Danio rerio: one gene and its partner. The protein of the gene in region 1 interacts with the protein of each later gene in a biochemical or structural test. Links are inferred from orthologs where the notes say so. Each region holds a gene or a part of one and is shown in the gene's direction. Other genes may lie near its edges.

The links. The genes of interacting proteins can lie anywhere in the genome.
Region 2: the proteins of glmna (region 1) and fkbp4 form a complex in vitro, tested with the Homo sapiens proteins (2 studies listed by BioGRID). The link is inferred for Danio rerio from reciprocal best matches to the Homo sapiens genes GLMN and FKBP4.

What each region holds. Positions count from the first base shown.
Region 1 is NC_133177.1:11,258,019-11,265,057, forward strand, and holds part of glmna (glomulin, FKBP associated protein a), read left to right. Parts: intron 1-2,390; coding exon 2,391-2,480; intron 2,481-2,557; coding exon 2,558-2,599; intron 2,600-2,694; coding exon 2,695-2,768; intron 2,769-5,796; coding exon 5,797-5,881; intron 5,882-7,039.
Region 2 is NC_133193.1:7,694,532-7,702,299, forward strand, and holds the start of fkbp4 (peptidyl-prolyl cis-trans isomerase FKBP4), read left to right. Parts: upstream 1-3,869; 5' UTR 3,870-4,165; coding exon 4,166-4,255; intron 4,256-5,231; coding exon 5,232-5,376; intron 5,377-6,326; coding exon 6,327-6,469; intron 6,470-7,768. UniProt on the Homo sapiens protein: Immunophilin protein with PPIase and co-chaperone activities. Component of steroid receptors heterocomplexes through interaction with heat-shock protein 90 (HSP90).

The sequences.
Region 1 (7,039 bases):
GTTCTTACCACAAATGTATCATTTAGGCACCAATTGATGTACATTACCAAGTCTTGTCGCCTATCCAAGTTTTAACAACAACAAATAATAACTTGACATCTAGATGATCATTTTGGATCAGAAGTGGCTAATATGAAAGGCAAAGGCCTTTAAATTGCGCATATTTTACAAAAAAAAATAAAAAATGATCGTGCTTTGATTTATAATTATTCAATTAGGACAGTAAAGTCTGACTTTGCTTTGACAAAAGTCTTGTCACTTAACATAAATAATGTACAGCAGGGGTTCTCAACTGGTTTGGCCATGGGACCCACATCTTTACATGGTCATCAAGCTGTGACCCAAATTTTAAGGAACTATATTATAAATTTAGGAATTATAATTAATTCGCATTCATTTGTTAGCACACATAAGTAAATCATAAGAAAATTACCAATATTTACAAATAAACCGTATTTTATTGTTGTCATAACAAAATGTATCAAATTATAGAAATAATACAAAGTAAAAACGACAAATACTGTAAACAGTGGTTAGAATAAGGAAAGTTCATGAAAGTATCATGAACTAAACTGAATTGTTAATTAAACATATTGTTGTCTGGTTTCTAAATGTCATTTTAGTTTAAAAGAGTTCATGCTCTATTGTGAGAGCACCTCACTACATATGGCACACCGAGGCTTGAAGTGTTTTTTGTTGTCAATATATGTAAATCCATACTTTTCATCTTGCATATTTATTGCTTTAATTAAATGAAATTTCACATGTCAAACGGTAGGGTTGTCGCGAGCGCATTTTAAAATAAAAGTCCGGTGTAAGCAAAATATGTTTTTAAACTTTTTTTTTTTTTCACCACACACTCTGTGACCCACTAAAAATGGGTCGCGAACCACCAGTTGAGAAACACTGATGTACAGTATAGAATATAAAGTCATGGTGCAGTCGGAAATAATTAATGTTGTGTATGTTCTTGAGCGTGTGGTTGCGGGTCAACTGCAAAACCACCTTAAGCTAAATGCCTTATTTGATGTATTTCAATCGGGCTTTAGATCGGGTTACAGTGTGGAAACAGCTTTAGTTAAGGTCACTAATGACCTTATGATTGCTGACTCTGGGGCTTGTGGTATTCTGGTGCTCTTGGATCTAACTGCAGCATTTGACACTATCTCTCACAGCATACTATTGGACAGACTTCGAAACTGGGTTGGCTTAGCCGGGACAGCACTAAGTTGGTTTATATCCTACCTCACTGAACAATCACAGTTCATTTATTTGGGAGGTCATAGATCGCGGACTGGTCTGTGTCACGGTGTCCCCCTGGGTTCGGTACTCGGGCCACTTTTGTTTAGCATTTATATGCTACCTCTGGGAAAAATTCTACAAAAATATGATATTAATTATCATTGCTTTGCTGACGACACACAGATTTCAAGAGTTCGCCCTTAGCTGATGATTGATTAATGAAGCTACTGTAGTTTGGCATACTGTTCCGGGAGAGAGCCCTGAACTCGTGAGATCCTTGAGCCCGGGGCTACCTCCTGTTGCAGGGCGAGAGGGGAGTCCGAGTTCAGTTAGGTCTCAAGAACTCCCCTGCTTGATAATGTTGGAAGTAGATTAATGCTGTGAGGTGTGTATGCTGTCAATTTAGATTTGTCAATTTGCTTATGTTACATGTTTTTGGTCTGTGGGAGGAAACCGGAGAGTCCGGTGAAACCCACGCAAACACAAGGAGAACATGCAAACTCCGCACTGAAATGCCGACCTGGCCAGGAAGTGTCCGAGCCAGTGACATTCTTGCTGTGCGGCCATGGTGCTAACCACTAGGCCTCCATGCTGCCCTGACAAGGAAATGGGAGGAGTTGGGGTGGAAGAGGGGATTCTTCAAGATGAAGATGGCTGAAGTAAGATACTCTGGTTATTTATAGTGGTTAAGGAGTCGTCTGATTGGTAAATCAGTGTGTTAGCTAATGTGGACTAGGTGCTATCAATCATGAGCATGTGCTCCTCTCGAAAATAGTTTATAAATAAACTTTACTTATATTAGTAGTCTGAGAAACTGAGGTAGCTGTTGATGTTGCCATGCAGATCTCTCGCATGCCCCTATACCGAATGTAACCCTAAACCATGATTTTTCCTTAACCGAACTTGACTGATTTCTGTGAGAATCTTGGGACCATGTGGGTTCCAGTAGGTCTTCTGCAGTATTTGTGATGATTGGGATGCAGTTCAACAGAAGATTCATCTGAAAAATCTACCTTCTGCCACTTTTCCACATGATCAACTTAGTCAAGTTATTATTTGTTGCTTTTACAACTGTGATCGATGACAAGACCTTTGTCAAGTAGTGAATTACCTGTCATTGTAATTTTGCTGTAATTCTTCAATCACAGGAACTGTATGAAAAAAGTCTTGTAAGAGTTGAAGAGAACAGTCTGCCAGTAGATCTTTTGGAGCTAAAGACATTTTTTAGTGTTCCACAGGTAAAAATGAATAAACATAACAGTTATGCATGTGTTTATATTAAATGTTACTGATAAACCCTCCGTTTTCTCTTTAGAACTTGGTTAAAGTTATGACTATGTGTCCAGACCAGACTCTGGTAAGTATGAGGTTGTGTGTGGAGGTAAAATGAAATATATCATTGGTGTTCTCATTGTTAATTTTTATTGGTCTCTGCTTAAACCATTATCACAGAGAACTAAAGGCCTTAAAGTGTTTCAGCTGAGCATTGACAAATTCAACACAGAAGCTAAATACAAGTTTTTCAGGTAAGCCCTCATTCTGATGTTTGGAAAATGTTATTATTATTTGGTAAAACACAATATTGTTATTTGATAGAAAACAACGCGACATACAGAGTCATAAACAGTGTGATATACAGAGAAATGCTTACACAACCATTCGTGACCTTAAAATAATAACAACAATAATGAAATGATAAAAGTAATAACAACAATATTCTAAATTATAAAGAAATAGATGTAATGCAATAGAAATTAAAGCAAATATAAAATATTTAAAGACTTCAGATGTGGCTGTAGAAAGAAAGTACATAGTATAAAAATATAAAAGATTTTTCTGTACAAACAGAAACAGAAGTGTTTCTAACAAAGTGCCCGGTGCATAAGAGAGGAATGAGTGTATTATACTGGTGGTTTGTAGGGATTTTCAAATTGATTGGCCGGAGATCGGCAATGGCTGATAATCACATTTAATGACTCAATCGGTACTCGTCAATCTGGCTGATCTCGGATAACGGGTGTTAGTTCATGAGTTTACAAGGAGAGGAAGATGCACGTGCGCACCTAGGTTGAACAGATAGCTGCACTACAACAGTGATCGCTGCGCATGCTTCACAGCAGCTAAAATATTTACAGATGTGGTGCGACCTCTGTTTATTCATTTTAGTGAGAGTCTCTTTGTTGTAACCATTGTATATCCAGTGTTTTGAGCTGCTGTGATTAGACATGGGCCGGTATAAGATTCTGACAGTATGGTAACATTGGATAAAATTATCATAGTTTAACAGTATTGTGATTACAAATATGCTCTAAAATATTTTCTTTTTAAATGTCTGGGTAAAAAAACAAAAAAAAATTTCCCCAATATATTTTATCTTTTGAAAGATTTATAATAGTTTGGAGCAGTAAATTGTCAGTATAAATAAATCAAAAGATTAATTTACCTCTGTTGTCTACATTTGTTCCGAAGACACCGATTTTATTTTATTTATTTTTTTTACAATTTAATTTACAGCTTTATTTTATTTTTTTATTTATTTATTTTTTATTTTTTGCTGGAGTTACTGTTGTCCTAAAAAACAAAACAAAAAAGTAAAAAAAAATCTTACACATACCTTAGGAACGGTATTGCAGAAAATTCTGGCATTTTTAAAACCTTGACTTCTTCAAACCGTGGTATACCTTGAAAACGGTTATCGTCCCATGCCTAGCTGTGATACTAGCAGAGCAATCAACCCCATCTTGTGTCCAACCGTATGAACTCTCCCAGAAGGTACGCGTGTGTCCCACATGTTATCTATTATTTTCTGTAAAGGTGCTTCTGTCGACATGAAATGGTTATAAGAGACATTTTTACGATTATAGGCAGTAATAATAATGTATAGGATTATATGCAGCATCCTTTGTTTATTATCTTAGGTAAGGAGAGATCTCCACTTAAGTACTTAGAGAAAAAAAAGGTGCTTTATGTAATGGCAAAGTTACTTAAAGTGCCTTGAAGCATCAGAATCAGTACAAGGTATCGACCGATCACCATGACAAGGAATCGGTACACTGTATCAGCTGCAAAAAAAACCTGATCAGAGCATCCCTAGTGGTTTGTCAAGCCTGCTAATCTGTATGGAGTATACTAGAACTATACAATACAGTTCAAGGCAGAATAATTAGCCCACCTGTTTATTTTTTTTTTTACCCAATTTTCTGTTTAACGGAGAGATTTTTTCAACACATTTATAAACATAATAGTTTTAATAACTCCTTCATAATAACTGATTTATTTTATCTTTGCCATGATGACAGTAAATAATATTTAACTAGATTTTTTTAAAGACACTTCTATACAGCTTAAAGTAACATTTAAAGGCCTAACTAGGTTAATCAGGTTAACTAGGCAGGTTAGGGTAATTAGGCAAGTTATTGTATAATGATGGTTTGTTCTGTAGACTATCGGGAAAAAATAGTGTAAAGGGGCTAATAATTTTGTCCTTAAAAGGGTGTTTAAAAAATTTTAAACTGCTTTTATTCTAGCCGAAATTAAACAAATAAGACTTTCTCCAGAATAAAAAAATATTATCAGACATACTATGAAAATTTTCTTGCTCTGTTAAACATAATTTAGGAAATATTTAAAAAAGAAAAAATAATTCAAAGGGGGGCTAATAATTCTGACTTCAACAGTATATATCCAGGTTGTGTGCAGATGTGCATAACTGTCCAAGAGTGTCCAGTGGGTGTGGAAAGTGCATGAATGTGCAGATGTGCAATGTTCATAAGTGTCTGTAAAATGTGCAATGTGCAAAAAAGGCTTTCAGTCCTGTGTGTTGCACGATTGAGAGACCGGTAACAATATAATAATGTGCCATTGTTAAACCATGGAGAATTTCAAGTAATGGCTGCACCATGGTTTGCTTTTATATACAGTATGTTGATATGATTATCCAGTTTATGCACCAATTTAGCAAAACACTGATACTAATGTAAACACTGGTATACATTCTTATGTTGGACAAGGTTTATTTTGATAGATTATATTAGTGCTGTCAAAAGATTAATCACATCCAAAATAAAAACATATGTGTGTGTGTATATATATATATATATATATATATATATATATATATATATATATATATATATATATATATATATATATATATATATATATATATAAATATATATATATAAATATATATATATATATATATATATATATATATATATATATATATATATATATATATATTTATATATATATATATATATATATATATATACACAATTAATTTGGTTTTGTGTTTTTTTTATATAATTATTATTATTTTTTTAATTAATACAAAGTGAGTACACATCCATTTTTTAAAAACAAACTATTATTTTGGATGTGATTAATCGATTAACAGCTCTAACTGATTTAATCAAATGTGATTTATATTTTACAATGTGAATTTAGAACCTTGCACTTGGGACTATCAGACTAGTGTTTAAATAGCATCGATATTTAGATAAGTTTTATGATGTCTAACTGTCTGATGTATAGGATTTCTCTACTTTTCAGAGGTATGTTGAAAACCAGTCATCATGCAGGAGTGGAGGGATATATTATCAAGAATATCAAGAATCAGATTGACTCTTCCCTCAAGGTAAGATAACCAGTGTTGGGCATGCTATGCAGAGTAAATAGTTATAGTTACTAGTAGGGCTGTATATATATATATATATATATATATATATATATATATATATATATATATATATATATATATATATATATATATATATATATATATATATATATATATATCCTTTCAGCATCAATATCACAATGTGATCGTTTGCTATAGTCACATCATATGCAATGTTGATTTTGTGTTATAATTTATCATTTTCTGTGTGTTTTTTCGATGCTGTGATTGTATAATGATTTTAAAAGCCTTCTGGTATAAAAAATTGTACAGTTTGTAACATTAATAACAATTAATTTTATTGAATTATTGTATCATTCAGTTACTGTACTTGAATACTCAGAAATCAGGAAAATGATAAAACTCTTTATTTTTTCAATTGTATCTTTTTTAAAATTGTATTTATATGAAAATACACATGCAAATAAAGAAATGCACAGACCACAATGAAAAGGTTTTGGGGGACCTCAAAAAGTTTGTTGATTGTTTATTAGAATTTATGGAGATGCAAATAGTAAACAATAATTCATCAATATATGACTAAACATATGCATGAAAATACTCACATCACATCACATGCAAATACAGAAATGCACTGCAAGTACCACAGACAACAATGAAAATGTGTTGGGGGACCCCAAACATTTTACAGATTGTTTATTAGATTTTATGGAGATCCATTCACACTGCAGAATCATCCCAATTGATCTAACATTATAAGTTCCTTCCAAATAGAAATATGAAGTCGAAATTGTATTCATATTGCTATATATCCCTTCACGTGATTATCCAAGGGTGAGTGGACATTATATTTATAAATAGGCATGAAACTGAAGGTTTTATAACAGAAACGCATTAGGTTAAATAGAGGTTATGCTTAATTCATTTGGACCAAAGACAAACAAATATACTTTTTGATTATTCATGTAATTCTTTTCATAACAGATATACTTTTAACAATGTTAAACTTGTCATTTAAAAAAATTATAATCATAATGTTGAAAAAAGTTGAAAAAGGGTGTTTATACAACTAGAGCTTTCTTTTTTTGACACATTAAAATGTGGTTAAGAAATAACTACATTACATTTTTTTTCTAACTCCATTGGCCCAACCAG
Region 2 (7,768 bases), on another chromosome or scaffold:
TTGTCATTATCAGATTTCTTCTTGCATTATATTCAACATTAACCTTTATTTTCATGCACAACACAATGTGTTAGCTATGAAAGAAAAAACATATCAAATGTCCACAAATAAAAACTGATTGCATTGTGACAACCCATTTGCTAATGCACACTGAGCAAGCTAATATGCAATACACACAAGAAGTTAAATGCATGAGAAGGCATGTGGACATAACACAATATCTAAATCAAGTAGTTTAGCATGTCAAAGTCAAATTTAAGCAAAATATATTTTCCCGACAAGAAAAGTGTGGCTAGTAAAAATGGTGAGTGGCTAGTAAAGTTGGAAATCTACTAATCTACTAGCCACAGTGGCTGGTGATCAAAAAAAGTTAATGTCAAGCCCTGTATGTATATATATATATATATATATATATATATATATATATATATTCATGCCTAATATAATATCTAATATCAAATTTTAATAAATTGCTAAAATATTGGTTGTGTTCACCATAATTTTACAATAAATTCACTTTGATGTGTGATATGACTACAAGTGGTCATAAACAAAAATGTTCTCAATTTAAATGAATAGCGGCTTGGACCCAGAAACAGTATTCCATACGTCAAGACATAACAAGTGGATAGCAGTACTTTGACTGCTTGTGAGCTTGGTTTGATAGTTCTGATACCTTTAACTTGTTCACCATGTCCCTCTCTGCTTTCTTCTGCACAAACTCAGACACCCAGTCTGGCTCTGGTGGTCCGCTATTGCTGTTCTTCTCCTTCACAACATCACTGTCCTTCTGTCCTTCCAGAAGTCTAGCAGCCTCCTGTTTCCTCTGCTCCTCATAGTCTCTCAGCCACGTCAAAGCTCCACAGATGAGGCTCAGAGACTTTCCCTGCAGAATCAAACACAATATAGATCAAACATCCACTGCCATCTTAGGAGAGACACTGCAGGTGAAACACTGTTTTTTCATCCAATGACCAGATTTAGATGTAAAAAAAAAAAACATCCAAAATACACTTTTAGGTGTTTCCTTTGTTGCATTTTATGTTTTTTAGTTATGTCTATACATTTTTATTTAAATACAGTTTTATCAAAATGTGTGTTTTTTTCTAATGCATTGAGCATCATGGGAGCCACTAAGCCTATTTTAGGGGGGCTGTAGCTACTCTGCACCCCAACATTTTTTTGCGATTAGCTCATGAACTGTACACTAAATTATCGCCTCAGTCCACTTTAAATCTTGATCTTAATTCGGCTTTTTCGACGATTCAGCCGATTATATTTTCAAGGTCAGGAAAAAAGCATATGATGCAAAAATGAATATCCTAAAATCGCCCCTGCTGAGCATATATCTCCACTTCATCAGCACTTACATAGTCACAACACATTGTACAGTTTTATTCTGTATGCCTATATAATTTGCTAAATTTGATTATATACTCATTGTGTTAACAAGATTCCTTTTGTATCTTTCCCAAAATTGACTGAAATAAAAAAACATGAACTTTAAACCCGACTTAATCGAATATTCAGATGTTTGTGCTAAAAATGTTTGCACATTAGAGCACATTTAATGAAATATGAAGATACTGACGAGTCGAAAACGTGTAATACAAATAATGTTCAACAATCTAAGTATAGTGATAACTATTATTCAATTTGTAACCCTGTTTACCTGCAGTGCCTTAGCTGAGGGTAAACTGAAACCATAACCTCATGTGGAGACTCACCGTGCCTGTGGGACTCTCGAATATACCGACTTTACGCTGATCCAGGGCGGTGTAAAGCGCCTCCATAAAGCTCTCCTGGATGGGATACGGCTGGAAAGGGAAAGGAAACCGGCCACTTTTGCTCTCCATTTTATATATGTGGCATTAGATTAGATTCCTAAATAACGTTAAAGGCCGAATAACACGAAAATCAACACTGCATATGAGCGCTTTTTACGCCGACAATAAACTCCTCATGGTATCATCAAAATATGACTTCAGTTATGATAAAAATCTACCGTATAATCCCAATGAAATCGCAAATAGCAAACAGAATTAACAGGTAACTACACAACAAACCAAAACACGTTCTGACAGTGTAAACTTCCTCGAACAAACGCGCCAGTCTTCTGCCTCAGCCAATGAACACGAGGGAAAACTTCTTAGAGGATAGGAACCATCATTAAAGTTCACTCTTTTGTGAAAAACGAAAACGGATGATTTTTTTTTTTTTAATGATTCATGTTTATTTTTCAATAATTTTTAATACAACTGTGATGTTTTGTTTATCAGTAATACTTTTGTTGTATTTTCTTCGGTTTTAATGTATTTTAATTGGGTAAATGTAGACGTATGTGGAAAAACTTTTATTTGTCAGTAACCTGGGTCAAGCGCTTCTAGTGAACTGTATGCCACTGAAATGTTTTCAGTTTTTGTATTAGTGGTTTTTATGTGCATGCAATTTCCTTGATGTTTAAATATTTGCATATAGCAACATTAACAACATAGATTATAAGATTCAGTGTAAACTTTATTATTATAACTTACAAACTATGTATTATAATGCAGGCTAGTATTATCTATCTATCTATCTATCTATCTATCTATCTATCTATCTATCTATCTATCTATCTATCATCTCCCTGTCTCCGCTTGTTAAGTGTGATGTCGTCATGCGAAGCGGCTTCCAGGTCAAATCACTTTATCAAACTGTATGAGGAGACTCATGAAAGGGTAATGATAAACATTTTCAAAGCGCTGTAATACTTGCGAAAATCATGATCGCAATATATAGATCCATGCCTAATATCCGATGGGCAGAAAGTGATTCGTTTTTTTTTTTATAAATTGTTAAAATTTTGGAATTTGGGATGCAGCAAGCCCAGAGACTGTTGTGTACACCATAACTTTATATAAAATTCACTTTAATGTATAATAAGAATAAAAAGTGATCATAAACAAATATTTTGTCAATTCAAATGAGTGGACCCGGAAAAAGTATTACATACGGCACCAACACGTCACCACTTAACAAGCGAATAGAATTATTCATTCATTCATTTTCTTGTTGGCTTAGTCCCTTTATTAATCCGGGGTCGCCACCGCAGAATGAACCGCCAACTTATCCAGCAAGTTTTTACACATCGGATGCCCTTCCAGCCACAACCCATCTCTGGGAAAACTAATAAAATTATATAGACTAAAATATGTGCTTTCATACACTTAAATTAAATAATATAGCTGAAGTGTTTATCCAAAGCAGGTTATGATCTAATGGGGACTTTTCAAGTAATCCGAGCAACATCAACAATAACATGACAGCTTAGGCAGTTACACTTGTAGTGTGAGTGCAAAGTGCGCCTGAGTGTGTCACTTTTAAGGGACTGTTTCATATGGATTTATTAATCATTCTTACTTTTCAATGAACGTGCACTGTCAGTTATTCAGTTATTAAATATGCAGACGCCCCATATATATGATGTCAGTATGGGAGATTTTACAGTTAGAAGGTAATATATATATATATATATATATATATATATATATATATATATATATATATATATATATATATATATATATATATATATATATATATATATATATATATAAAGCTTTATGTAAATGCTAACAGATATTTTCCTTTTTATTAAATATACACTGCTAAAACGGTATCAGTTTTTACAATTCAAATGAAAATGTGGAAAATAGAATAGTCATATTGTAATAGGAGTGTTGATTACGACATTTGGATTTCTCTACAATCTGATTGTATCACAAACTCGCATATCCCTTTCTCCGCTAATGACTGGGTTTAGAATTTTGCGACGGTCCCTCACGCTGCAGTCAGTTCTAGACTTTGCCGTCTCCTCGCTCTCGCGCAGCTCTGGAAAGTTCGCTGAGTCGATTCAGTTTCCAGCGGCGGCCCGATCGTTATATAAACGCCTCGCGGAGTCCCTGCGCGTTCCCAAAAACCACATTTATCGGCCGCTGACTGCCACAATCGCGCGATAGCTTAGCAAATCCACTCCTAATACCGAAATTAAAGCCGTTTAGCCCTGCAGACGTCGAGTCTTCAGTGATTTCTGCACGTTAGCTGTTGAAGGAAAGACCTCGGCGAGGAGACTCAGTCTGTATTTTGGTGGTATTTTGAAGGTGATACCTATATTAAAGCGACGATGACTGCAGAGGAGGTGGCGAATGAAGGTTGTAGCATCCCCATCGAGGGTGAAGACATTACCCCGAAGAAAGATGGAGGGGTTTTAAAGGTAAATACTGCAGGGCATTGAGCCGCATTGACTCCATGTGGGAGGTGTGACTGACTAAAAAGCATGTTACAGACGATATGTCTGTCTATTAATGCACTTTTACTACTGCTATAGCTGTTGTTGTGCATTTAAATGTGACTATTTTAACAGTATGTATTAATAAACAACGCCTGTTGCTAATTGTGCTGCGTTTTCTAGATCTTTCTACCGCGCCTAAAGAGAGAATTCGCTTCAGAAATTATAATATTTCTGATCTGATTCATTTCGTCTCAATGTGTTCATAAACCTATATGATTTACCTTGTAATGTAAACACAAAAGGAGACATTAGCGTCTGACAGCCGCGGGTCACCGTTCACTTTCATTATGCATTGTTGTATGCTAACGTTACTAAAACGAATGGTGACTGGTAAATATATTGTTTTGTAAACAAAAGCACAACCATTCAGTTTTATAAACAACGTTAAAGTTAGCAAATGTGACAAATCTTATTTTTAGGTGAATCTTCCTATTTATTTTTAGTATTACAATTCTTTTGGTTTGCAATGTTAATTAAACAAAGTTTTGTGCCGCTTCTGTTTAATATACAAGTGACACATGTAACTTATGTGATTAAAATCAGTAGCAATCAAAGCATGTAATCTCTGGAAACCTCAGGTTGGTGTTATCAGATACAAATACAGGAATTACTTGTTTGGGATAATTAAACGCTTTCGGTGCAACTCATTCAAGAAGAATTCACCTAAATAACTTAATAATTTTATTTATTGTGTGATTATTGTGTGGAATATGGCTCTGTGTATGCTTAAACTATTCGATTATTACAAACATATAAGAGTTATTTGTGTATAAAGTCATTAACCTAAGCATTAGGCGTGAACATCTTTCTGCCCTGCGGTCTTTGAAGATTGACAGGTCACAGGTGTAGTGCAGTGTGCCCAACAGATTGAAGATGAATCTCTTTCTCTCTTCCACAGTTGGTCAAGAAGGAGGGTACTGGCACCGAGTTGCCTATGATTGGTGATAAAGTATTTGTGCACTATGTCGGAACACTGCTTGATGGCTCACAGTTCGACTCCAGCCGTGATCGAGGGGAAAAGTTCTCCTTTGAGCTGGGCAAAGGTGAGTAAGGGTGAAGTGCGCTAAATGGTAGTTCGCCCTCGCTGACTCTTAAACAGAGTCTAGGTGAATTAGATGAATTGAATCCATCTTTATTTCTGTAGCGCTTTTACAATGTAGGCTGAGTCAAAGCAGCTTAACATAGAAGTTGTAGTAGATTGAAACTGTGTCAGTCCAGTTTTCAGAGTTGAAGTTCAGTTCGACTAAAATCAGCATACTCCACGTCTAAATTCGATTTCTGTTTGGATCGATTATGACCTTAATTAGATTAAATGAATCAAATCGCTGTTTACATGGTAGACTCTTAATCAGAGTATTGTCTTAATCGTATTAATAAGATTATTGGTGTCCATGTAAACGTACTTGATGATAATCTTGACTAACTAACCTGTCTGTCTTTATGTTGTGCGCCTAAACACACAACTATAATGTCACAGCCGTAAAGCTTCTGACACACTTTAAAACTGTAAACAACATTTCCCCTGAAACTATGAGTTTGTAAGAATGTGATCAGATTAACCTGTTCATCTTGATGTTTAATGTACTCGGCAACCTCTGTAGTTTCATTTAGCTTCTTGTTTCTTTTTCATGAATAGCAGAAGCTTAAATAATAAACCACAAGGGTGTATTCTCAATGTCTCTTATCTTGTTGTAAACATGAAAACATCTTAGACATTTCTTAATATTATGTTACTTAAAATTGCTTTAGATGAAATACCTGATTTGTGATGATAGAATTGAAAGTAAAATAAAAGATATATCTAGAAATGTAGCAGGTATTATATATATTTTTACTTGTCGATTAGATTGAGGCGAATACAAATCCAAGCCTGTGTTCGAGATAAGGGCAGAAAACTGCAGGGCATAGGAACAGATGCATTTGTAAATGCAAGCAAAACATCATTGCGCATCCAAGTCAACAATTTTAGACAATTATTTGCTCCATCTCGCAGGTCAGGTGATCAAAGCATGGGACATCGGTGTGGCTACAATGAAGATTGGCGAGATCTGCCAATTGACATGCAAACCTGAGTATGCATACGGAGCTGCTGGCAGCCCCCCAAAAATCCCTCCTAATGCTACTCTTCTGTTCCAGGTAATGTAATAGACTGCTGAGATTGTCAATGTTTGTACTGGTGCGGGAAATCCTTAAAAAATATGCTTGAATTTGGATCTGCTGTTTTTAAGGTCTTGGATAAAGTGCTTGAAAATGTAATTGAAACAATTTCTTACGTAATATGGAATAATGATGAAGTACTTAAATAAAAATAAGTCTCTTTCCTTTTCTTTTTTTTTTTTTTGTCTGCGCTTTTGGAAATTTTAAATTTGACATTTAACTTACACTTGCCGGCCACTTTATTAGGTACACTTACTAGTACAGGATTGGACCCCTTTTTGCTTTCAGAACTGCCTTAATTATTCGTGGCATAGATTCAACAAGATACTGGAAATATTCCTCAGAGATTTTGGTTCATATTGACATGATAGCATCACGTAGTTGCTACAGATTTGTCGGCAACACATCCATGATCAGTCTGGCCATTCTACTCTGACTTCTGGCATTAACAATGCATTTGCACCCCCCGAACTGCTGCTGCTACCTGTCTGGTTGTGCATGAAAATCCCTGTAGATCAGCAGTTTCTGAAATACTCAGACCAGCCCAACTGGCACCAACAAACATGCCGTGTTCAAAGTCAAAATCTTTGTTCCCCATTCTGATGCTGTTGGAACTGCAGCAGATCGTCTTGACCATGGCTGTTTCTCAATATGCGTTCTTCAGCGGTCTTGCGTCCTCGTGTTCTCGTGCAACGTCAAGGCCGCAAGTACGGAGGACGCGTGAAACTTCCCGGATGTGATCTTGATATCGAGGACGCACTGATGCAGACTTGAGCACCGAACTCGCTCTGGAAGTCCCAGAAGTCATTGCGACTGGAGGTGGGAAGCGCAGCATTTAATTTAGATTTATTATTAAAGTTCAGAGATATCACTTATTTACCTCAGGAGTTTTCCTAAATGAAACGGTGAAAGTAAACATTAACATGAATATCTTAAAAAAGGAATAAACACATTAAGGGTGTTTGTTTGCTGAAATTCGTATTAAAATTTGTTTTATTTATATTGTGCAGAGTATATTTATAATGTTTTTATGCAAAGTATATATTTTGAAGAGAAGGGAAAACAATAAATCGTTGTATGAGTGCTGTAATGTTTAAATGATTTACATTTAAAACGAGTGAAGGTCACGTGACCATCAGGAAGAACGCAGCATCCCATTTCTCAAAGGACGCGTTTTCTGCCCTCGCGGTCTCCCGAGTTCGTTCTTCCGAGGATACCTGTCAAGACCGGTCTCCACAAGATCGCAAGTCCATTCTCTGCGTTCTTGGAATTGAGAAA